2 linked regions of the Caenorhabditis elegans genome follow. The protein of the gene in region 1 purifies or fractionates together with the protein of each later gene. This does not show direct contact. Each region holds a gene or a part of one and is shown on either strand. Other genes may lie near its edges.

Region 1 (11,349 bases):
CCCTGCTTCACCCAAACGTCGAAGTGACCTGCTTCGAAAAATCCGGAGATATCGGAGGACTGTGGAACTTTAAGCCCGATCAAACGGACCGTAAGTCAATTTTTTTTCTCAAAAATTCAAGCTCAATTTTTCTCAGTGTCAACCGTTATGAAGTCGACTGTAATCAATACGTCCAAAGAAATGACCGCATATTCGGATTTCCCGCCGGAAGACACTATGGCAAACTTCATGCATAACAGAGAAATGTGCAGATATTTGAAGAGCTACGCCGAGCATTATGGGCTTCTGAAGCATATTAAGCTCAATCATAGTGTGGTTTCGATTGAGAGAAATCATGATTACAGTACCACTGGAAAATGGAAGGTTCGGTACACTGATGAGTAAGTTTTCATAATTGTAGGTCTGTCGGCTTCAAATAGGCGGCAGGCGCAGAGGTAGGCATGATGTAGGTACAGTGTGAAGTAGGTACAAGCTTTTAACGAAATACAAAAAATTTATATGCTGCTATTTTTTTTTGACTTTTCGACTTTTGGTCCGAAAAACCAGAAAATCATTTTTTCCAACAAAAAAACCAAAAACGATAGCCGTGATGTAAGCATAAGCCTAAGCCTAAGACGGAGCCTAAGATTCAGCCTAAGCCTAAGCCTCAGTCTAAGCCTACGACTAAACCTAAAACTAAGCCAAAGTCTGAGCCTAATCCTCAGCATAACCCTAAGTCTCAGCCTATGCCTGTGCCTAAGCCTAACAAGACTAAAAAAAACTTAAAAAAAAAACCTAGCATAAGCCTAAGCCTCGTCCTCAGCCTCAGCCTAAGCCTAGGCCTAAGCCTAAGCCTAAATCCAAACCAAAGCCTAATCCAAAGCCTACACAATTTCTCCAAATTTCAGATCCGGAAAATTCCACGAAAAGATCTTCGACGGAGTTATGATCTGCTCCGGACACCACGCGATCCCACACATTCCCGAACCATGGCCAGGACAGGAAAAATTCAAAGGCCGAATTATTCATTCTCATGACTATAAGGATCATAAAGGCTATGAGGATAAGGTGATTGTTGTCGTTGGAATCGGGAATTCCGGCGGTGATTGTGCAGTCGAGCTGAGTCGTATCGGCAAACAAGTCTACCTGGTCACTCGACGCGGAAGCTGGATTTTCAGCCGACTTTCTGATCGTGGAGAACCGGTCGACCTGGTTTTTAATACGTATGTTTTTTTTTAGTTTATAAGCCACCCCTCAAATAGAAAATTTTAGAAAATTCCAAATGCAGCTAGTTGATATGATCCCCAGCTCAATTATGAACTGGAATTTCGAGAGAATTTTGAACAACAAGGTGGACCACGAGAAGTATGGATTGAAGCCGAAGCATGCGGCAATGGCGTGAGTTTTCCTTTTCCTACAAAGAAATACGGTGGTCTTGGCATCTGATAGTGTCGGAACTAGGGTTGGCAAACCGGAATATATGGAACGTGGAGTGAAAGTTCGGAAATTGGACGCCCGGGTTGCCAGATCCAGTTGGTGTTATGTATATACATATGTCTTGCTCCGTGTTAGTAGACATATTCTCCAGAGTTTACGCTGAGACATTGCTCCAATTGCGCGCCAGCGTACATTTCACTGAGCGTCGACTCAACCGACACGATACGTTGCTAATGCGCTGCCACTTTGAGCCTTGTCCACTCCTACTTCTGATTTTTCTCAGTTTTGCATTTTGTAGTTAGCCTGTACCATGAGCGCTATACAAATTTTGTGACTATATATATTCTTAACACGTGTAAAATCTTGCAGAGCTCATCTCACCCTCAACGACGAGTTGCCGAATCGAATTGCCTGTGGAACCGTTCGTGTCAAGCCAGGAATCAAGTCATTCACCGAGACAGGCGTTCAATTCGATGATGGATCTTTTGTGGAAGGAGTCGATGAAGTTATTCTTGCCACTGGATTCTCCTACCATTTTGACATGATCGAGGGCGGAAAATTGATTGAAGTCGATGAGAATAAGTCGGATATCTACAAGTATGTATTTCCTCTGGCAACTGCTGACCATAATACTTTGGCGGTGATTGGGTTGATTCAGCCTTTGGGATCGATTATGCCGATCAGTGAGATGCAGGCGAGAGTCTATATGGAGTCATTTGCAAATGGGATGAAGCTTCCGAGTAAAGATCAGGTAGGTGTGACGAGGTTGTGAACCTCAAAACCACCAAATCGGAGTTTACGCAAAAACGCAGGAAATAGGCGGTAGGCGCGAAGATAAATATGTACAGTGTTGCTTAGAAAATAACTTTAAGCCAAAAAAATTAAAAAAAAACCATAAAAATGACCGATTTTTTTTTCTCATTCCAACTAAATTTAACATTTTCAATTTTTTTTTTAATTTTTGGTCTGAAAATCCATAAAATCTTTAAAAAAAGATCGAAGTCCGGTTGCAAGCCTAAGTCTGAGCCTAAGCCTAAGCCCAAGCCTAAGTCTAAACCTAAGACTAAAACTAAGCCAAAGCCTAAACCTCAGGCTAAGCCTAATCCTAAGCCTAAATAGCGTCAGTAGCGAGCTAACGCTCGCCACTGACGCCAGGTCTACACCTGAAACTAAAACTAAGCCAAAGCCTAAACCTCAGGCTAAGCCTAAGCATAAGCCTAAACCTAAATCAAAGCTTAAGCCTAAGCATAAGCCTAAACCTAAGCCTAACTAGGGAAGGGCACTAATTTTTAAGGCCGAAAATTTCAGCTTTGGGGCAGAGTTTAGCAGATTCCAAAAAATGATTTTTGTAGCTTCACCTGTCATTTAAAGTTTGTTTTGTCTTCCTAGCAATTCCCCTATTAACAATATTCCCTAGTAAGCCTAAGCCTAAGCCCACGTAGTGCCAGGCTGTCCCATTACGGTTTGATCTACAAAAAATGCGGGAATTTTTTGCCCAAAAAAAAGTGACGTCAGCACGTTTTTAACCATGCGAAATAAGTTAAGAACTCTGCGTCTCTTCTCCAAAAGAAAAAAAAAAGTTCCTCGGTCCTAAATTTACTAGATTAATAAAAAATATTTTTCAGATGCTGACCGACATCGCCGAAAAACGAGAAATCATGAGTGCTCGCTACGTGGCAAGTCGTCGTCACACTATTCAAGTCGACTATGCCTCCTATATGCATGAACTTGGTGAAATCATCGGATGCAACCCGGACATGAGATCTCTCTGGATGTGGAAGCCCTTGACAGCCTGGAAAGTATACTTTGGCCCGTGTGTTCCATATGTGTTCAGATTGAATGGTCCGAATAAGTGGGAAGGCGCCGAGGCGGCGATCTGGGACGTGGATTATCGATCGGAGAGAGCTACGAATAGTAAAATCGCGAGGAAGAGTTTGGAGGGAAAGAAGCGACAGTGAACTATAGTATATGTTATATGTTCTAATTATTTTGTAAAAAAACCTTTATGAAAATAAAAATCAATCACAATGGCTTCTTCCATATTTTAGCCTGTTCCCGGTGGCCGAGCTACTCAACAAACCAACGTTTCCTCTTCCACGCCCGCTTTGAACTTTAAATAGGGATAAAAAGACATATGGCGGGATTAAAACATACCACGGCGTGGGGAGAGTTGGACTGTTGTGGCCAATGTCTCTCACACACTGAATGCGTCGATTTTTTATTTGTTATATCGGTTTTTTGAGTATTTTTCTAGATTTTATTTTAGCTGATAAGGTAGGTTTTTTTGGATTTTTTTAATCACTAGAGTGTATTAACTTTTTGAAAATTATTGCCCACTTCGGGTTTGGTACGTGCCCGGGAAGTTGAGAAAGCTTGGTCACCACCCAGTTAACTTATATATTGGTGGCCGAGTTTTCCAGATTTCTAGGCCAAAAAATGGAGCGTCGTAACCAAAATTTCACAGGACAACAACAGTGAAGAAGAACGAGATCGAAAATTCGACTGGAAATTCGAAAATGAGAACGGAAAGCCTGAACATGAGACAGTAACGGTACCCAAGCTGCCCGACGGGTCGTACTTTTGGAAATGGACTTGGAATTCGAGAATCAACTCCACGACGGCCGCTACTCCAACAAGTACTGTAACTACATCCACTAGTGCACCTACAACGTCTCCACGAGTTTACAAGTTAAAGTCAGAAGCTAGGAAGTCGTTGAGGAAGGTAACTTGGGATTTTTTTAAAGCCACCCAGAATTTTCTAGGCCACCCTGAAGTATCCAGGCCACCCTGAACTTTCTGAGCCATTTTGAACTTTTTAGGGCACCTTGAACATTCTAGGTCACCCTGAACGCCCACCCTGAACTTTCAACTTTTTCCAGGCCCTCCGCGGAGTCCCTCCAGAAAAACGAAAGAAGCAGCTAAAGAAAATGGGAAAGAAGATGATGAAAATTCCAAAAATTACCAAAAAGGAATCGAATAAACTTCACAAATCGTATCGAAAAGTGAAGATAACCGAGAATCCACCAGCATTGGACATGTTCGAAGTCAATGAACGGGCCGGATTGAATGAGTATTTGTTTCAAGGAGACATCAATTTGAATAAGTAAGTGCGGAATGGATAGGTACAGTAACCTTACAGTAGCCCTATTGTATCCCTACAGTAACCCTACAGTAACCATACAGTAGCCCTACAGTAACCCTACAGTAACCCTGCATCTACCATTCTATAGCACTGCAGTATTGATACAGTAAACCGAAACCAACCCTATAATATACCTACAGTAATTCATCAGTGAATAGTATTACTAGCGTCCCTACACTACAGTAATCCTATATAAAGTCTACAGTTCCCCTCCAGTCAGCACACATAAACTATACAGTAATCCTACTGTAATCGCAAAGTAAATTTACATTAAACCTACAGTAACCCTACACAAACCACACAGTACCCGCTGCTTGAATGATAACTTTTACAGCAACCAAATCGCGAAAATTTCCTCTGAACAGTCCTCAAAATCCCGACGAAAAAAGCGTCAAATCGATAACTTGGCTCAATTCTGGCCCGGAAAAGTTGTGTACTATTATTTCGATTCGGGTCTTACGACGACAGTTCAGCAAATTGTGCGTGATGCGATAACGTTCTTGGAATCGAATACATGCTTGAAATTCGAATTGAATAGCACGGCCACAAATCGAGTAAAGGTCCTCTAAACTACTTCAGCCGACATTTTTCAAACAAAAAACTTGAAAATTTTCAGATTTTCAGCGGTGTTGGATGCTACTCAGACACCGGAATGCTCGGAGGGGAGCAAACCTTATCACTGGGCTACGGGTGTGAAGTGGTAAGATAAATTTCTTATTTAAAAAAATTTTTTTTTCGTTTCACCCAAAGTTTCCAGACCGGCACGGCGGCTCACGAGATAGCCCACACTTTGGGGCTATTTCACACCCAGATGAGATCCGATCGTGATGATTATGTCACCATTGATCTTACCGATGTTCCGGAGTCTTCTCAACAAAACTTTATTAAATTGACTGAAGCGACATCGACAAACCTCGTTGATTATGAATATGGAAGCTTCATGCATTATTCGGGAAGAGCGTATGTTTTGTTCATGAAGCACATACAGTGTAACTCGACAGCACCCCTACAGTAACCCTACAGTAACCCTACAGTGCAACCCTACAGTCTAATTCTGTAGTGTAGTCCTACAGTCACCCGACTGTAACCCGATAGTGACCCTACAGTAACCCTACAATGTAACTATACATTGTAACCCTACAACACAGTGTAACCCTTCACAGTGTAACCCTACAGCAACCCTACAGTAACCCTTCAGAACAACTCTACAGCAACCCGACAATGACCCTACAGAAAACCTACAATGTAACCATAAAGTGTAACCCTACAATATAACCATACAGTGTACTGGTACAGTATCCATACAGTATCCCTACAGTAACCCTACAGTACGACGCTACAGTGGAACTTTACAGTGTAACCCTACAGCAACCCTATAGTGTAACGGTACAAACAACCCTACAGTAACCATTTAGAATAACCCTTCAGAACAACCCTACAGTAACCCGACAGTGGAGCCCCTACAGTAACCCTACAGTAACTTTACAGTATGACCCTACAGTAACCCTACAGTAAAACCCTGCAGTATCCTTGCACTGTAACCCTACAGTGTTACCCTACAGTAGGCCTACAGTATCCCTGCAACCTAGCCGTACAGTAACCCTACAGTATAACCCTACACTAATCACAATCACACAGCGATCTCACTGTAACAACAGTAACCCTACAGTATCCTCCTCAGCATAACCCCCTACTGTTAAACCCCACAGTAACCCCACGGTTACCCTACAGTAACCCTACAGTAACCATTCAGTATCCTCACAGTGTACCCTACAGTATAACTCTACAATACCACTACAGTAACCCTACCTACAGTACCCCACTGAAAGGCCTTTCCAGGTTTGTCTCATCCGGCGGAGTTGATTCCATAGTGCCCAAAGATCCGGTGATGGTATACACCATGGGCGGACGAATTGTGACTTTTCTGGACTTGAAAATGCTCAACACGCATTACTCTTGCTCTTGTGAGTTGATCTACCGAAAACTACCAAAACCAACTCTAACCCTTCAGGCCCAACAATTCTCAGCTGTGGAAATGGCGGCTTCACGAACCCTGCAAACTGTTCCGTTTGCATTTGCCCGTACGGTTTTGGTGGAGCCTTGTGCACTGAAAGAACAGATTACGGATGTGGAAGCACTTTGACTGCAACTGACACGTGGCAGCAGGAGACGTATACATTTGGGAATGCGTCAAATTCCGCCACAGCGAGACCAAGCGCAGTTTACTGTAATCATTGGATTCAGGTTTTTAGCCGGAAAAGTTATCTTGATTGAAAAAAAAAGGTTTCCAGGCGCCTGTCGGTAAGCAAATTCAATTTCGAATCGATTCCACGTACAACACCCAATGTGTCTACGGGTGCACATTTAATGGAGTTGAACCGAAGTTGAAAAGTGACATGACAATTACGCAGGCGAGGTAAGTTAGGATCATGGTAGATCATGGTAGATCATGGTAGAACATGGTAGAACATGGTGCATCATGGTAGATCATGGTAGATCATGGCAGTTTATGGTAGATCATGATATAACATGGTTGATCATGGTGGATCCTGGCTCATGGTAGATCCTTGTAGATCGAGGTAGATTCTGGATCATGGTAGATCATGGATCATGGTAGATCATGGTAGCCATATTTTTGCACGAAAGATAACCTCGAAACCTTCAGGTACTGTTGCGACGAGTTCAACGCTGAGATCATGACTGCCGACTTCGGTGTCAATCCGATGCCCGTCTTCAGCTTTAATCGGTACTACAAAACCACGTACACATGGTCATATCGATACGGTAAGCGCTAAATTAGGCCTGCCTGCCTATTTTCTCCGAAAAACCGTAGGGGTAGGCACAAGGCAGGCCGCAGTGTCACTCTATTGCTAATTCCATAAATTTCAGTGGACTCTAACGTCACCGCATGTGCTGATACATCCGACAAAGCCACGTGTCTTTCTTTGAAAAGTGCAAAAGAGCAGGGTTGCTCAATTTATGACACTGCTCAGCTGAAGGTGATGTGTGCGGCGACTATGGATTTGTGTGGGAAGGTGGCGTCAGATGATGGGACATGTAAGGACAGGTTTCCCAAGAGCCAGTGAGTTTTGGGGAGGTCATGGAAGAGGAGTGACGTCACAAGTGTCCTAGATTTTAAAATCTTCGAAATTTCACCTTCCAGATGCTCTACCTACTCCACGAACGGAATGTGCACCCAACAACCGCCACTTGCCGCCGAATTCTCATGCGCTGAAACTTGCGGTTTCTGTACTAATCCGGTTTGAAATAAAATATTTTGTGTTCGTTACTGTTCTTTTGACCAAGTTGAACTTTGATCATTTTACATTTAAAATTATTTTGCTATGCAACAAAATTGGGTAATGTTGAATGTTCGATAATTTATTTACATGAAAATATACAAAATGAGAATGCAATTAATTAGACGTTAATTGGAACTTGTGGAGTTGAGACGGGAAGTTCTGGAACACCAACACCTCCAAGGTTATTGAGAAGTTGAGTGATGATAAAGAGAATCGTATTGAATTGCTGAAAAATAAATTAATAGAGAAGAATTAAAGTATATCTTACAATTTCATTGGTTTGCTTCAATTGATTGATAGCTTGTTCTTTTTCTTCAGTAGTTTGATTACTTTCGACAATATTTCTCAGTTGTTGGAGAACATCTACAAGACTTCTAATTATTTCAGAAGCTTGCTCAAATACTGATCTAAGCAATTCAGAGACACCAGCTACAAGTTGATTGAGAGCATCCTCAAATCATAAAGAATATTAAAAGATTAATAGAATATTGACTTACTCCAAGAGATGGATTAACGGCATTAAGTTGAGAAACAACTTGTTCAATTGGTGTATTAGCAGTTATTGAAGATAGAATTTCTTGAACTTTTTGAAGATCTTGTTCGGAAATCTGGCTAACGAAATTATTCAACAGTTCAGTGATTTGAGAGTTATTTCCAAGGAGTGGTAATTGCAAATCGTTTGAAGGTAGATCAAGAATTGTCAATAATCCATTGACTGCATTTTGATTTCCACCAAGAAGTCCTCCGAGTATTCCATCATCTCCAAGGATGCCTCCAACAACTCCTACTTCAGGAACTCCACCAATTCCTGGATTTCCTAGATTTCCTCCGATTAGTCCTCCAAGTCCACCTTCTCCTAAAATCGGAATAGCAGTAGAAAGAGCAATGGAAACAAAGAAGACAAGAGCAATTTTTGACGAACACATTTTGTAAAGTTGATGTGAGTTTCCACAGTCTGTTCAACTTTTATACTGTTGCATTGCTCCGATCTCTGAAATATAAACTGGAACTGTCCAGAAACAAAAGTTGATTGTTGAGCACATGTTTGTTTTTTTAAACTATTATTCAATACTCGACAGTATATTCAAATGAAATGGTCATCGAACAGCAGACAATGCCATCATATGTTATTCCAGACAGATAGTAGTTTCAGATCATTGAAAGTTATTTGATAAAAATGTCAATTTTTGATTTAACAATGATTTGCCTAATTCGAATTTCAAAAATCATAAAAATATTTTCGCCCTTTGTCTACAGGAAAAATTGTATAAAAGTAGCGGTGAGCGTAGAGTAAAGTCATCAGTTTCACTTTCATATTCCCAGTTAAATTTTTAACTGAACAATAATTATTTCAAAATGTGCTCGTCAAAAGTTGCTCTTGTCTTCGTTGCTTCCATTGCACTGTCTACAGCTATTCCGATTCTAGGAGAAGGTGGATTAGGAGGACTTCTGGGAGGAAATCTAGGAAACCCAGGAATTGGTGGAGTTCCTGAAGTAGGAGGTGTTGGAGGCATCCTTGGAGATGATGGAATACTCGGAGGACTTCTTGGTGGAAATCAAAATGCAGTCAATGGATTATTGACAATTCTTGATCTACCTTCAAACGATTTGCAATTACCACTCCTTGGAAATAACTCTGAAATAACTACACTTTTGAATAATTTCGTTAGCCAGATTTCCGATCAAGATCTTGAAAAAGTTCAAGAAATTCTATCTTCAATAACTGCTAATACACCAATTGAACAAGTTGTTTCTCAACTTAATGCCGTAAATCCATCTCTCGGAGTAAGTCAATACTCTATTAATCTTCTTATATTCTGTGATTTTAGGATGCTCTCAATCAACTTGTAGCTGGTGTCTCTGAATTGCTTAGATCACTATTTGAACAAGCTTCTGAAATCATCAGAAGTCTTGTGGATGTTCTCCAACAACTGAGAACTATTGTCGAAAGTAATCAAACTACTGAAGAAAAAGAAGAAGCTATCAATCAATTGAAGGAAAACAATGAAATTGTAAGATATTCTTTAATGTCTCTCCTATTCATTTATTTTTCAGCAATTCAACACAATTCTCTTCATCATTACTCAACTTCTCAATAACCTTGGAGGTATTGGTGTTCCAGAGCTCCCCGTTTCAACTCCACAAGTTCCAATTAATGTTCGATTAATTGCATTCTCATTTTGTATATTTCCATGTAAATAAATTATCGAACATTCAAATTTTTAACTTCAAAACTAGTTTAAGCTAAAGTTTGTTGGAAGTGTAGTGGTAGAACGAAAACTCAATTACTGCAGTTCAATATAGTCCGCTTCTAATTTTCAATAGCATTATCTGAAATACTATTAACAATCGTAGACCAGTGCCTTATTGTAGAAAAAGATTATAATCTCATAATACAGTTTATTGAGCTGGTATTACTACCAGTCTGTTCTCCAAGATCTCCAAGTCTTCGACCACAAACAGAAGAATAAAGATCTTATTTTCCACTCTCACACAATGTGTTGTCCGTCTTGTTGCTCCCACTCACTTTGCCACATGGCAATGCCAAGAGGCACATAGCGAGGGGACCTCAAAGACTAGACAAGAGACCAAAGTAATGAATTGACCTCTTACAGTTTTCGCCACAAACAGGGAGTCTTAAAAATATCACCGAAATTGAACCATATATTCAATGTTTGCAGTCAGAAATCATTTAATAATTTGTTCGTTGCTTGTTATCTTGCTGATTTTAATCAACACTCGACTAATCAATATTAAACTTCTCTTTTATTGGAAACCTCAATAGTTGATGATAGGCTGTTTTAAGTTTGAATTATGTGTTTTTTTTAATTTCCAAAACCTTTTTGTATACTATAAGTTATATTCTTCTAGAAAATAGGAAGCTTTAAATGGAAGAAAGTTGAGATATTGAATGTTCGATAGTTTATTTACATAGGAAAATACAACATGAGAATGGAATTAATTAAACGTTAATTGGAACTTGTGGAGTTGAGACGGGAAGTTCTGGAACACCAACACCTCCAAGATTATTGAGAAGTTGAGTGATGATGAAGAGAATTGTATTGAATTGCTGAAAATTGAATGAATAGAGAAGAATTAAAGTATATCTTACAATTTCATTGGTTTCCTTTAATTGATTGATAGCTTCTTCCTTTTCTTCAGTAGTTTGATTACTTTCGACAATATTTCTCAGTTGTTGGAGAAAATCTACCAGACTTCTGATGATTTCAGAAGCTTGTTCAAATAGTGACCTAAGCAATTCAGAGACACCTGCTACAAGTTGATTGAGAGCATCCTAAAGTCACAGAATATAAGAAGATTAATAGAGTATTGACTTACTCCAAGAGATGGATTTACGGCATTAAGTTGAGAAACAACTTGTTCAATTGGTGTATTAGCAGTTATTGAAGATAGAATTTCCTGAACTTTTCCAAGATCTTGTTCGGAAATCTGACTAACGAAATTATTCAAAAGTGTAGTTATTTGAGA
Region 2 (11,852 bases), on another chromosome or scaffold:
ACATCACGTCATTTTAAGGAAGTTCTGAAACTCCCAAATTCCAGAAAACAATGTCACCAGACGAGAAGTTTATGAGATGCTGCCAGGAGAGAAATCTTCCAGATGCCTGTCTTTCCAAGTGTTCCTTCCGCACATACACCAAGACAGCTCTCCAAGCCATGTACTTCAAGCAAGACTACTGCCCAATGCAAGCAGCAGCAGATATTCAATACTGTGCTGCTCAAGGGCAAGATCACACTGACTGCTGCTATAGAAACTCGGTTGGAACCACATTGGCCGGAAACAAAGTAGGTGTGATGGACTATAAAACTAGTATCGTAACGTTCAAATAACCCCCAAAACGAACGTTTGAAAACGTCTTTTCTTTGACGAATCTGTAAATTCAAAGTATATTCCAACCGATTAATTTGAAAATTTTAGTGCTTCACTTTCTGCGACCAGCGTCCAGGAAACGTCACACAACTTGACCTCTCCTACTTGGCTTGTTACGATCGTTTTGAGAACATGAAGGCCTGCTTTTGGCAGAAGCTCAACGAGCAATCCACCCCAGAGTTCTCATCTAACATCGATTCAGAGTCCGAATTCTCTGAGCAAGGACCAAACAGACACTTCGCACTTACCTCATCCCGAACCTTCCAAGCAAGAACTTTCGGTCAATAACTTATAAGTTTTAATACCTCTATGCACTGAACACTTGATTGTAAAAATTGCCGCTCGTCACAGTATTTAATATTTGTTTTCAATTCAGTAAATTTTCGATAAATTTTTACCGTTGATACGATAAGTTTTTTTATATGCCATTTCTATAGGTCTAGCTATTATTGCACCAACTGGTTTTCAGAAAGTTGGCCTACGCTCCCAGGGGCAAAAAATTAGGGACATTCACTTTAAAGAGGCATTATTCAAAGAAAAAATTGGGGGGTCATTGCTCTTAGGGGGCATTCTGAAAATTCTCAAAAGGTCATTTAAAAAATTTCAGAGGGTTATGTTGTCTGTGTATCTCTACAGGCTCACCTCTCACTACAGGCTCACAGGCTCTCTATGGGGAAAAACTGTTTAGATGTTGTGACATAGAAATTGTATGTACCAACTATGCTGATGTACCAAGTTGATACTACCAAGTACCAACCAGCATAGTTGGTACCTTTTCAATCTTTATGACGTTGGTCAGAACGTGAAAGAAATTTATGAGGCTGAAACAATTGTAGTTTCACTAAAAGCCGTATTTTTATTCAGTACACATTTGAACAATTTGCCCTCTGTGAGATTTTTAAAATGCTTATTTGTGAATTTTGAGAATTACCCCTAAGAGCAAATAGTTTTATCCCCATAGTGATCTTTGCGAAACCCCCTAGCGTACTTTTAAATTCATTCAGCCTCATGCCGTTACATCAACCAACTTGGCTGATGAACCAACTACCAATCAGCATAGTTGGTACCTCTTCAATCTTTATGACGATAGTCGGGCTACCTCATGCCACTATTGATTGGACGTGAGAAAAGTTTACGGGGCTGAAAAAATTGTAATTCCTGTCAACTCCGTTGAACTTTGTTCTTACATGATTCCATCCCATCATTATGTTTTGTTTTCATCCCAACCATTCGCCCCCTCCACTTTAGCTTGATAGACAAATTCCAATCCCCCGCTTTGAAATAGTATAAAAAGCGGGAAAAAACCGACCCAATCACACAATTTCCTTTTCATTTTCTTTTCATTATTTTTACCATACTTTTGCTCTTGTATCTTTTATTGATCTTTATTTATCTTTATATGAAATGGTTTAATAACCCAAGTTTGAGGTACCTTTGAAAAACCCCCCAACGCGGTGACTGAGGAAAGGAGAAGAGTTTTGGAACTCTTTTCTGTACAATTCCATCAAAATTTTTACTTTCAATCAGTTTGCATTAAAAAAATGCCTTTTGAGATTTTTACAATGAAGATTTTAAAGATTTTTGAGAATGCCCCCTAAAAGCAATGACCTCTAATACCACCTTTGAGTGATGCCCCCTGGGAGTGTGGGCTCAGAAAGTTACCTAGATACTTTTTGGGTGATATGTTCAAAATTTATTCAGAAGTAAAAGTATGATACAACTCACTGGGGCCAAAGTGTTTTTGGTGAGAATTGACGGAAGTTAGTAAAGCAAATTATCATTACAAAGTTGTCATTAATAAAAAAAATAATGGAAAATTCAAGAAATCAAATAAAAATGTAAGAGAAAACTTGTAAGTTTCAAGTATTTCCAATTATTATGATGTCATAGGTTTCCAAAAAGTGTAAAACAATTTGAGTAAATCAGCACTGGAACATTATGAAGATCAAAACTTATTAGTAGGATGTAAAAATTTAAGGTGGGATGAGAGGAGAATCAATTTGAACCGAGGAGAATTTGAACCAGTTCCTAATAAAATTAAAACTGTAACAAAATAGATCACTAACAGAATTTGGACAATAAAAAACTTACAGAGATATACGGTATTTGAAAGAAGTGTCACAAAATAATTCTTGAAACAGAAAATTTGATTGAACAGAAAACTTGATTATGTTTTCCGATCATTTGACATTACTACCAACTCATTAGAAACGCCCAGCACGACGCTGTCTGTAGTAGAACGCAAAATATGGAACCGAGTTGGCTGGTTCCGTTGGTCTGTTGATGTTCTGCTCGTAAATTCTGTTGTCATCCGCCAGAAACACATTCTGCAAAAAAAAGTAAAATTTAGTTAGGCAGCTTACAAGTCTTAATCGAAAGCAAAAGCACACTGGATCAAAACCCATAACCCAAAAAAAAACAAACGAAGCAAACTTTCCACGTCCATGCTTTTTTTAACAGAAAATGTGAAAATTTAGAAAAATATGTTAACTCTTGAATTGCTAATGTGAGTGAGTTTGGACAAATTTTTTAGTTCTGAAATTTGTGAGCCAAACTAAAAGTTCCCATGAAAATTGATAAAACTTTTATCAAAACTAAAGGTTTTTTTAAATCGACTTTTTTTTGAAAGCACAAGTGATTGGCAGATTTCAAACTCACTGTACATACACTATCCCTTCACGTTCTGAAATTCGAGATTACCCTCACTGTAAGAAATTGAGAAAATAATTTAGAAACAGATGGTTATATTTTACAAAATTTCGATTTTCATAACACAATTACACATTAGAACTTTTTTTTTGCCAGTTATCAAGTTTTTAAAATTTGGAAATTTTGTGTGAATTCCAAAGAATTGAAGCGTATGTTGCGAATTTTTTCGTGGCGAGTGAATATTTTATGTAACTTTTTTGGAAGTCACCAGAGTATACCGTTTTGTAGTTTTTATGTACAAATTTGAAAACTTGCCAACCTAGACAATGTTTGGCATTTGAAATTTTTTTCAGCAAACGGAATTTTCAGCATTTTCAAGTTGAGAAAAATGCCATTATTCACTTCAGGTTCCACTCACCCCGTGATGATAAACACGTGCCATATAGTGACCGCTGCTCTCATCGCGAAAACAATTGAACGTTCTGAAGTAGATGACACCACCAAGGTGAAATATGTCAGGCTCGTCGTTGTTTACCGAAATTGGTGAAAAATCTTCAGTTGGAAAGAACTCCAGCTCCTTTCCGATATGTCTATTGCCATCTTGGAAAGTGTCCACGGAGACGAGGATGACATCAGGAAATTCGTATCTAGTGGTTTCTCTACATGTCGTGTTTTCCTGGAATATTTGGCAACTATATTAAAAAAAAATATTATGATTAAATCTGCTAGTTCGGTTACAAATTAGAGCAATTTTTTAGAAGATATTAGACAAGTGAATCCTGAATTTCTTTGAAGTCCAGGACTGTAGGGCAACAAGTTTGGAGTCTTGATAAAATAAATTTTCCAGCTTCCAAACCACCATTTGGAAAAATGTGTGGCAGTGAATGGATTGGGCTCTAGATTTGACGTCTGAGCGTTTAATGTGAGTATGCCGTTAAGTTATTCACACCGTAAACGATAAATATTTCGAACTATGCTTCGTTAGAAGGTTAGTTTATTGCCAAGCTGCTACAGCATTACCGAATATTTTGATCTAGAATCAAAAGTTCTCAGTTTCTCAAAACACATTGCTTAATTCAGGTTGACTCAACGTTTTTGAGAAGTTAATGGGGCGTTATCAGAATTAACAAAAATACAAGATCTTTCAGCACTAAAATCTAAATAAACTTGCTTTTAAATTACTGATTATTCAGTTACGTGTTCCACTTACACATCCGTCATGCTCCCACGTAACGATTTCATTTCCAGTTACCGCCAGCATGGACTCAATGTTCGCAGCTGTAATCTCAAGATCTGGGCATCTCAGTTGAACTCTAGGACTCTGAAATCAATTAGTACATGTTTGCAAATCAATGAAAAGCGGCTTACTTTATCATTTATTTCTCTGCATTTGCCACACTCGTGGCAGACGGTTTTGTAATAAGCGGAAACTTGTCCAAATGTCTCGTCGTAAAACTCTTTGGAAAGTTGTCTGGAAAACGATTTTGGAATTACTTCAAAGAACAGTTTGGAGTTCCAAAGTAGGCAGACGCGAATTCAGGTCCGGGCGCCTGCCGAAACCCTGAAACCCCCTAAAAGAGCATTTTTTAAGGTGCATTATACCTATACCAGTCTTCAGCATCTTCACGGCACTTTCCATTAAATCCTCCTGGAATACTATTAAGCAGCTTTGAAATTGAAACACGAGGCCAGTCTCCTGAACCGGCAGCTGGAATAGAATGAGCAGCAAATTGTGCAACTAGCGACTTCATATGCATGTCCAATTTCTGAAATGTTATTTTTTACCAGTTTAAAAAATTGCATTTGTCATACGGTTTCTGCAATTTTCTCCTTGACATATCTCACAAATGGAGGGCAGGCAAGAAGAGCCTGGCAAACTGAAATGGCAAAGCATTCGAGGCAAGAGTTATAGATTGGCTGAAAAACAGGTTTTCGCTGAGAAGTTTGTTTTTACAAAATGAAAAATCTTACAGCTGGCTTTAATATCGGTTTGTTTTCGAATAGTGCAATGACTTTAGGATTATTGAAAATATCTTCGAAACGGCCTTTATTTACAGAGATCACATATTCCATAGTGATATTTGTTGGATCTGCTCGTTTGGCTTTGAGGTTCTATCAGGTTGTCCCATAAGTTTTTGTACTATTTTTTTTTTGAAAAAAATTTATTTCTCTCAAGCGACAAGTAGTACTATTCACACAAGTATTCACCATTAGTGTCCACCACTTGTTGCCATTTACTAGGTAACATCATGATGCCACGGGAGAAGAAATCCGGCGAACGCGATGAGAAGAAAGTGGAGAGTTCAGTTTTGAGATGCTCTTCGTCGTCGAATTGCTTGTCGCGCATGTAGTCACTGAGAGACAAGAACAAATGGTAGTCGGTTGGTGCAAGATCTGGAGAATATGGTGGATGCGGTAAAACAGTCCAACCAAGATCATGCAGCTTTTGGAAAGTCTTCTTGGCGACATGAGGCCTAGCATTATCGTGAAGAAAATATAGTTTTTCATATTTTCCGTTGGTCTTTTCTGCAACTCGGTCCAATTGGGCACAATAGTAATCAGCAGTGATAGTTTTATTAGTTGGCAACAATTCCCAGTGCACGGGTCCTTGAACACCCCACCAGACACAGATCATAATCTTTTTTGGGTGAAGATCAGGCTTTGGCGTCGGTATTCCTTTCTCACCGATCGGAAGCCATTGACGTTTTCTGGAATGGTTAACATAGAGCACCCACTTCTCATCTCCAGTAACCAGATTGTTCAGCCAATCGAACTTTCGACGAAAAGTTAGAAGTTGAGTACAAACGTTGACCCGAGTGAGCTTCTGTGATGCCGAAAGTTCATGAGGCACCCAAATTCCAAGTTTTGAAGTAAAACCAAGGCGACCCAAGTGACGTGCAATTGTGCTATGACAACACTCAAGCTTCTCTTCCATTTCACGAAGACTAAGACGAGGCTCTTCCTCCACCAGCTTCACTAGGTCTTCTTCATTTAACTCTACCGGTCGCCCAGAACGTTCTATTTCTTCGAGACTGAAGTCGCCGTTCTTGAACTTTTGAAACCAACTCTTTGCTGTATTATAAGAGAGTGCTCCCTCACCCATCGCACCGCATATGTTTCGTTCCGCTTCCATTGCTGAATGACCAAGACGAAATTCATAAAGAAGAAGCAATCTAACGTCTCGACGTTCAAGTTTGATGATTGTCATCGTGGCAAAGTAGAAATGGATGAAATGAATCTTTTCTGAAAGGGGACGACCCGACCTTGACACGACCTACGATGAAAAAATTTTAAAACTTTCTAGAAGTTTTGGAAAAATATTTGAAAAAAAGTACAAAAACTTATGGGACAACCTGATATAAAACCAAAAGTATACGCCTTAGTTTCAAAATTTCTAACAAAAAGCATACTTTATCAACATCTCTTGTTCCGTCTCTTCCGCCCTTCATTCGATTCTGGCAATTGGAAACTGACATACGCTGAATTTTACCCCAAATTGATTCGCCACCAATGTGCTCAGCATTGCTGAAAGTTAGTATTTGTACTGTTGACTGTCAAGTAAAAAAAAACCTGTTCACATCAGTTTCACACGGAGACGACTTTTTCTTGAAAACATCACGGAGCTGAAATCAATAAAAAGTTAGTAAATTTGGAGATCTTGTAGATGCGCATTTTTACAAATTTGTCAACAACTACCCTGCTCAATGAATTCGTGAGCCTCGACTCCTCCAAGAGACGAGTCAAATTCGGAACTGGTTTTATTTGCCTCAATTTGCAATTGTTGTTAGGAAGGTAGCATTTCCAGTTACTGTAAAAATTAAAAATATGTGAAAAGAACAAAATTGGTGTCAATTCTACCATTTGTGTTTTTTCTCTAGATATCCGGTGTAGAATCCAGACGGGGGCATATTTTAAAATGTAATATAATGCTGAAATTAAGTTTGAATTGTTCTAAAAAAAAAAAACAATAGAGTTACAAATAAAAAGTCAAATTAATTTGGAAAAATTTCTAGCAGGAAAATACAAATTTTAAAATAAAGTATTTTGTAGTGTGAATTTATTTAGGAAATTGCCGAAAAGGAAACATGCTTAAGCTCTGTACATAACAAAGCTGTAAGTTTAAGTAAGCTCCAATTTCAGCCATTCCACATATGGTTTATCTATTACTTCTGCATATGGCTGATCTACTACTTCAAAAGCTAGACGGATTGCTAGACCAACCACCCAATTTTACAATCATCTGCAGTCAGAGACTGTTACAGAAATTGAGCGTAGAGAGCCAAAGCCACCAAACTTGTAAACAATTATGCGTTGGCACATGAACCGTCACGACGCAATAGGTGCCGCAGCTGAACAGTTGAGAAGAAAAAAGATATTGAGAGGATTCGGAGTACAACAAAAAATAAGGTAAAAGGCAATTGTCACTAATGACAGCTTACTCGCAGCTGGAGAATTTTGTGGGGAGTTCCCAATAATTCCCAATTTACATAGAACTGAGTGGGAAAGTATGTGTCTGAACTTTTTTTTCGACATAAATTAACAAAAAATTAAGGAGTAGATTTGATTAGATATTGTTAAGAACGTTTGTTAAAACTAACATAATACTTTTTAGATTTTTTTATACCACATAATAACAGAGAAACCGCCTCAAAAATTGAGATAGAAATAGCGAAAAGAAAAAAATCTTTGCCATCACATATGGCACAGATATTCTTATGAATGAAGAAATCGACGCTTTTAGCTAAACATGTACCACCCACATCACGCGATAATCTAGAAGACTGTGCATATGGACTTTCTATTTTCAAGAGGAGCGCTTGGAGAAAAATAGGGGAAATTGGAGTTTGAAAGCAGGAGGCAATTGTAACATGAATCATACTATCAAACAAGTTTTTGTAAATAAAATCGATTATTGGCAGGAATCAATAGAGACGTCAATTTGTTTCTATGAAGGAATCGGGTTTTATTCAAAATTTGATTTTTATTTTTCAACTACAATACTATGTTTGGTCATGTGGGCTGTCTTAATCCGAAAGTGCAACTTTTTACTATAATGTTTCGGTTTCAACGTGTGTCGTACTATACTAATACGTGCGTTTTTTATTAGTTTCAAGCTTAAAAATGTATTGGGGCTCCGTGGAATAGTTGATCCCACAATTTGGCTCATTTTCGAAAATTTGAATTCTGAGTTGATACCAGGGGTGTGCGGCAAATCTCAAAATTTGCCGAGCTCGGCAAACGGCAAATTCGGCAAATTCGACAAATTTGCCGCACAACCCTGATTGATACGCCAGTTTTGAAAGACAATATTTGAAATAGAGGTTTTTTTAAACCGTATATTTGCCGATTTTACAGTTTGTGTATATCCTGTATGATATTACACCAGAAACTTTGGTAGAACAGGTAACCAAAATATTGTTGAACAGGTAACCAAAAAAAAAATTTATAGATGTAAATAAAATACTAAAGATGTATAAAAAATGCAGAAAAAATGCAAGTTTTTGATTTGCCTATAAATATGTTGTAGTAGAAGGAGACTGTGAGAGTGATGCAGTTATCACGAGGATTTTGATTTGAATGTGCAATTGACCAATTCAAATGTCGATGTATAGGGCATCCACAGTAATGAACGGAAAATGATAGGAGATAACATTCAATTCAGTGGTATGGTATTGGTGTATAAGATTTGAACTACCTAAACTCTTCGGTGGTAACAATTGAAGTAGTATTTAGGGGTTCAAAAACATGTAGTAGTTTATTGAAAGCTTGAGTTAGTTTTTGTTAATTAAGTTATAGCTGTTCAAATAATTTGCACGATTTTGAAAGCTGCTAGCTCTGTTATTGAAAAAATTATTTTTCCAGACAGCAACAATTGAGCAGGAAACTATGAAGCATTAATTATCTTCAAAAATCTAGAATTTTAAACGCCGGATAAAACTGAACAACAGATACATTCTACGTAACTTTTTCGATAGACCACCATTCACGTCAATAGAAATTTCGAGAAAATAAAAAAAAAGCAACACGTGAAGGGTATAATTTGCGGCGCTATCACACCCGGTTAACATTTATGTGACAAAATTGAACAGTTAAAAAAAATGGCTGAATTAAATTCTCAAATTCTCCTTTAGATTTAGGATATCCCACAAAACTTATTAGACCATAGGTGGATTTTTCGTTGTTCTAGCGCTTCTTGAATTTTTGTTTTTACAAAAAAATATTTTCCTCAATTATGAAACTTAGCCAAATATATCGCTGCTGATAAAACAAATAAATGAAACCACGAACTATCTCTTTTTGAATGAAATGAGTTACTGGTGAAAAAATACATGAGTGGAGAAATCATGGTAGTTTCACAACTGTTCTAAATGGTGTTGGACGAGAGAGCATACCTGTATGAGAAGCTCCTCTAGACACCCCATGCTCAAAAAACAAGAATAGCCGTGATGTTTGAAGGGGGAGTGACGAACTATTGGAACTTGCTTAAAAATATTCCATGGTACCACAATAAACAAATATCATAGCAAAAAATCAAAATTCTTTTATAAATTTTATACGATTGTTTGAAAATTGGAAAAATATTAGTATTTGCCTAATTCATACTTAAATTATCGCCAAGTGAATTCGTTCGATAGAGCGCGTTTGTACGATATTATTTTCTTTTATTATTTTTTCATATTTTAAAAGGCTGCATATAGTCAATCTATAATTTCGAGGTTTTGGCAAAACGCCATATTATTCATCTGATTTTACCTTTAGCCACTGATTTATTACAATAGTTTTGTATCTTCAATATATTTTCATGAACTCTTTAATGTTTGTTTACAACCGTTTTAATTGGTTACGAGTTTTGATCTCAAAATTCGTAAAAACTGTAAAATTTTAATTTGAAATTCTGAAAAAAAAATGCATTGTTGCATACATTTTCTTAACTGTTAAAGTTTACATCTCTTTGAGGTCTTTTGTAACGGTGACGTCATTGTAGTGTTGGTGTAGTCTTCACTGACAGTTTTGTAGAATAGCTCAACATTTTCTGTAACTCTAAATCACGCTACATAGTAAAAACACAAAGTTTTCAATGATTTATTGAATAAAAATATTAATAATTTGGGTGGGTCGTTTAGTCCAACCGGTATCCTATTGCAATAATGCACAGGGCCAGGAAAGAAAAAGAGAATCAGAAAAAAGGGATGAGGGGAAGGGACAAGTTTCGGACATTTGCAGTTCCAGTAACATTGATAAAAAATGTATATAAAAGAAATTTTCAAATTTTCAAAATAGGGAAAATTATTAAAAAAGGAATATTATTTCATTTTCAGAATCCACACGAAATTTATTATGGGGGTGAATAGAACGGAATCGCTAGTATTCCGCTGATTACCGGGACAGCAAAAGTAGATTTCAGTGGGTGGTGTGGGAGAGAGGAGACAGTTTTCAAAAACTGCGGACTAGTGAAACAGTATAGACTTGGAGATTCAGGAGTCTGTCACAAATGAAATTTTTTTAAGGAAGAGAATAAAAACAAACGAAAAAGATTAAAACTGATTGAGGGAGGGGAACGTTCCAATTTGGGCAAGAACAATACGGAATTCAAGGGGAAGGGAAAAAACATATCAAAACTAGTCATGAAAAACACACAATTTTGTAATTCGATGGAAAGGGTGATAGAGTAAAACATTAAAACATTGAGGGAAACAAACCGGCAAAGGAGAAATTTCGAATTCATAAAATATTGACTACAATTCCAAGTTTAGCGTCATTCAAATGACCAATGACCTTAGGGGGATAATTCTATTTTCAAACAACATTTTCAGAAAAAAAAGTTAACTTTTTGCAAAGCCATAACCTAAATGGCCTTACAAAACGTTTAAGGGTACAAAAACACAACAAAATTAGCTCCAAATGGTACTTTGCAAAAAAATCAAAAAGTGATCAGTTTAGAGAGAGAAAACAAGTGATTGTGCACGTTTTAATTTGATTCGATTTCTACCGTTTCCTTATCAAAAATTTTAGAAACAAAGAAAAACATTTTGAAAGATATTAACTTAAAGGAAAAGCCAAGCAGCACGTTTCACAAGCAAACATACAGGGTGCGGCAAAATCGTTTTGGCTGAGCTAAACAACACACTTTTAATATTGAAAAATTAATGTTAAAATATATAGAAAACAATTCAATCTTCGAAAATAATCAGAAAAAACTTGCTGTTTTCCGATCATGTTTAAAATTAATCGATAGTTTTTCTATGTTTCCTAAAAGTTCAGTTTTAAAAGTTAGATTATCATAGCAAGCCAAAAAGATTTACCGTACCCCCTGACACACATGTTGTTTTTCTTGTTTTTGCTTCGAAAAATGGATACTTGGTGGAACACATTTTGATGTGATTTTGGCGAGACATATGTGAAAAGAAATTGGAAAACATCTGAGAAAAACTGTTTTTGGAAACCAGAAATTGGGAAAGAGAAAGTGAGAGAGAGAGAAAAAGAAATAGGAAAAGAAAAAACGAGAAAACGTGGCGGTGGTGTGAGCGGTTTTCGATGGTGGTGGTGTGGAAGAAGCGGAGAGAAGAGCTGCACATTGATGGTCTAGTAGCGAGGCGGTAGCTGACCACTGACTGAAAACAATTACAAGGTCAATCATACGACAGTTGAGAAAGAGAAAAAAAGAGAACAGGGTGTGCACAGGATAGATTAGCTTTTTGCTTTCTGCTACTTTTTTACAACAGGATTCACATGACTAGCCTCCCAGCAGCTCCCGTAAATGTATGAAAACTATAAATTGGGTTGTTGAGAATGAACATTGAGATCTAAAAACAAGAAAAATCGTTAGAAAG

Evidence for each region.
Region 2: the proteins of nas-32 (region 1) and F35B3.3 fractionate together in Caenorhabditis elegans (co-fractionation; one large-scale study listed by BioGRID). This does not show direct contact.

Annotation. Positions count from the first base shown.
Region 1 is NC_003283.11:891,405-902,753, reverse strand, and holds nas-32 (Zinc metalloproteinase nas-32), read left to right. Parts: upstream 1-3,566; 5' UTR 3,567-3,621; coding exon 3,622-3,690; intron 3,691-3,880; coding exon 3,881-4,138; intron 4,139-4,295; coding exon 4,296-4,519; intron 4,520-4,892; coding exon 4,893-5,118; intron 5,119-5,174; coding exon 5,175-5,258; intron 5,259-5,315; coding exon 5,316-5,518; intron 5,519-6,397; coding exon 6,398-6,522; intron 6,523-6,569; coding exon 6,570-6,802; intron 6,803-6,849; coding exon 6,850-6,974; intron 6,975-7,223; coding exon 7,224-7,342; intron 7,343-7,447; coding exon 7,448-7,640; intron 7,641-7,721; coding exon 7,722-7,824; 3' UTR 7,825-7,845; downstream 7,846-11,349. Other genes in the region: fmo-5 (Flavin-containing monooxygenase), read left to right, coding at 1-90, 137-380, 888-1,202, 1,252-1,377, 1,786-2,167, 3,042-3,374; srlf-20 (SXP/RAL-2 family protein Ani s 5-like cation-binding domain-containing protein), read right to left, coding at 7,979-8,086, 8,129-8,311, 8,358-8,786; srlf-23 (SXP/RAL-2 family protein Ani s 5-like cation-binding domain-containing protein), read left to right, coding at 9,217-9,645, 9,690-9,872, 9,916-10,062; srlf-22 (SXP/RAL-2 family protein Ani s 5-like cation-binding domain-containing protein), read right to left, coding at 10,823-10,930, 10,973-11,155, 11,200-11,349. UniProt on the Caenorhabditis elegans protein: Metalloprotease.
Region 2 is NC_003284.9:17,008,539-17,020,390, reverse strand, and holds F35B3.3 (USP domain-containing protein), read right to left. Parts: upstream 6,930-11,852; coding exon 6,880-6,929; intron 6,830-6,879; coding exon 6,718-6,829; intron 6,645-6,717; coding exon 6,592-6,644; intron 6,547-6,591; coding exon 6,432-6,546; intron 5,095-6,431; coding exon of another isoform or gene 4,993-5,094; intron 4,939-4,992; coding exon 4,834-4,938; intron 4,788-4,833; coding exon 4,624-4,787; intron 4,493-4,623; coding exon 4,390-4,492; intron 4,343-4,389; coding exon 4,232-4,342; intron 3,698-4,231; coding exon 3,440-3,697; intron 2,700-3,439; coding exon 2,577-2,699; downstream 1-2,576. Other genes in the region: dbd-20 (DB domain-containing protein), read left to right, coding at 45-287, 421-660; mbl-1 (Muscleblind-like protein), read right to left, coding at 11,605-11,633.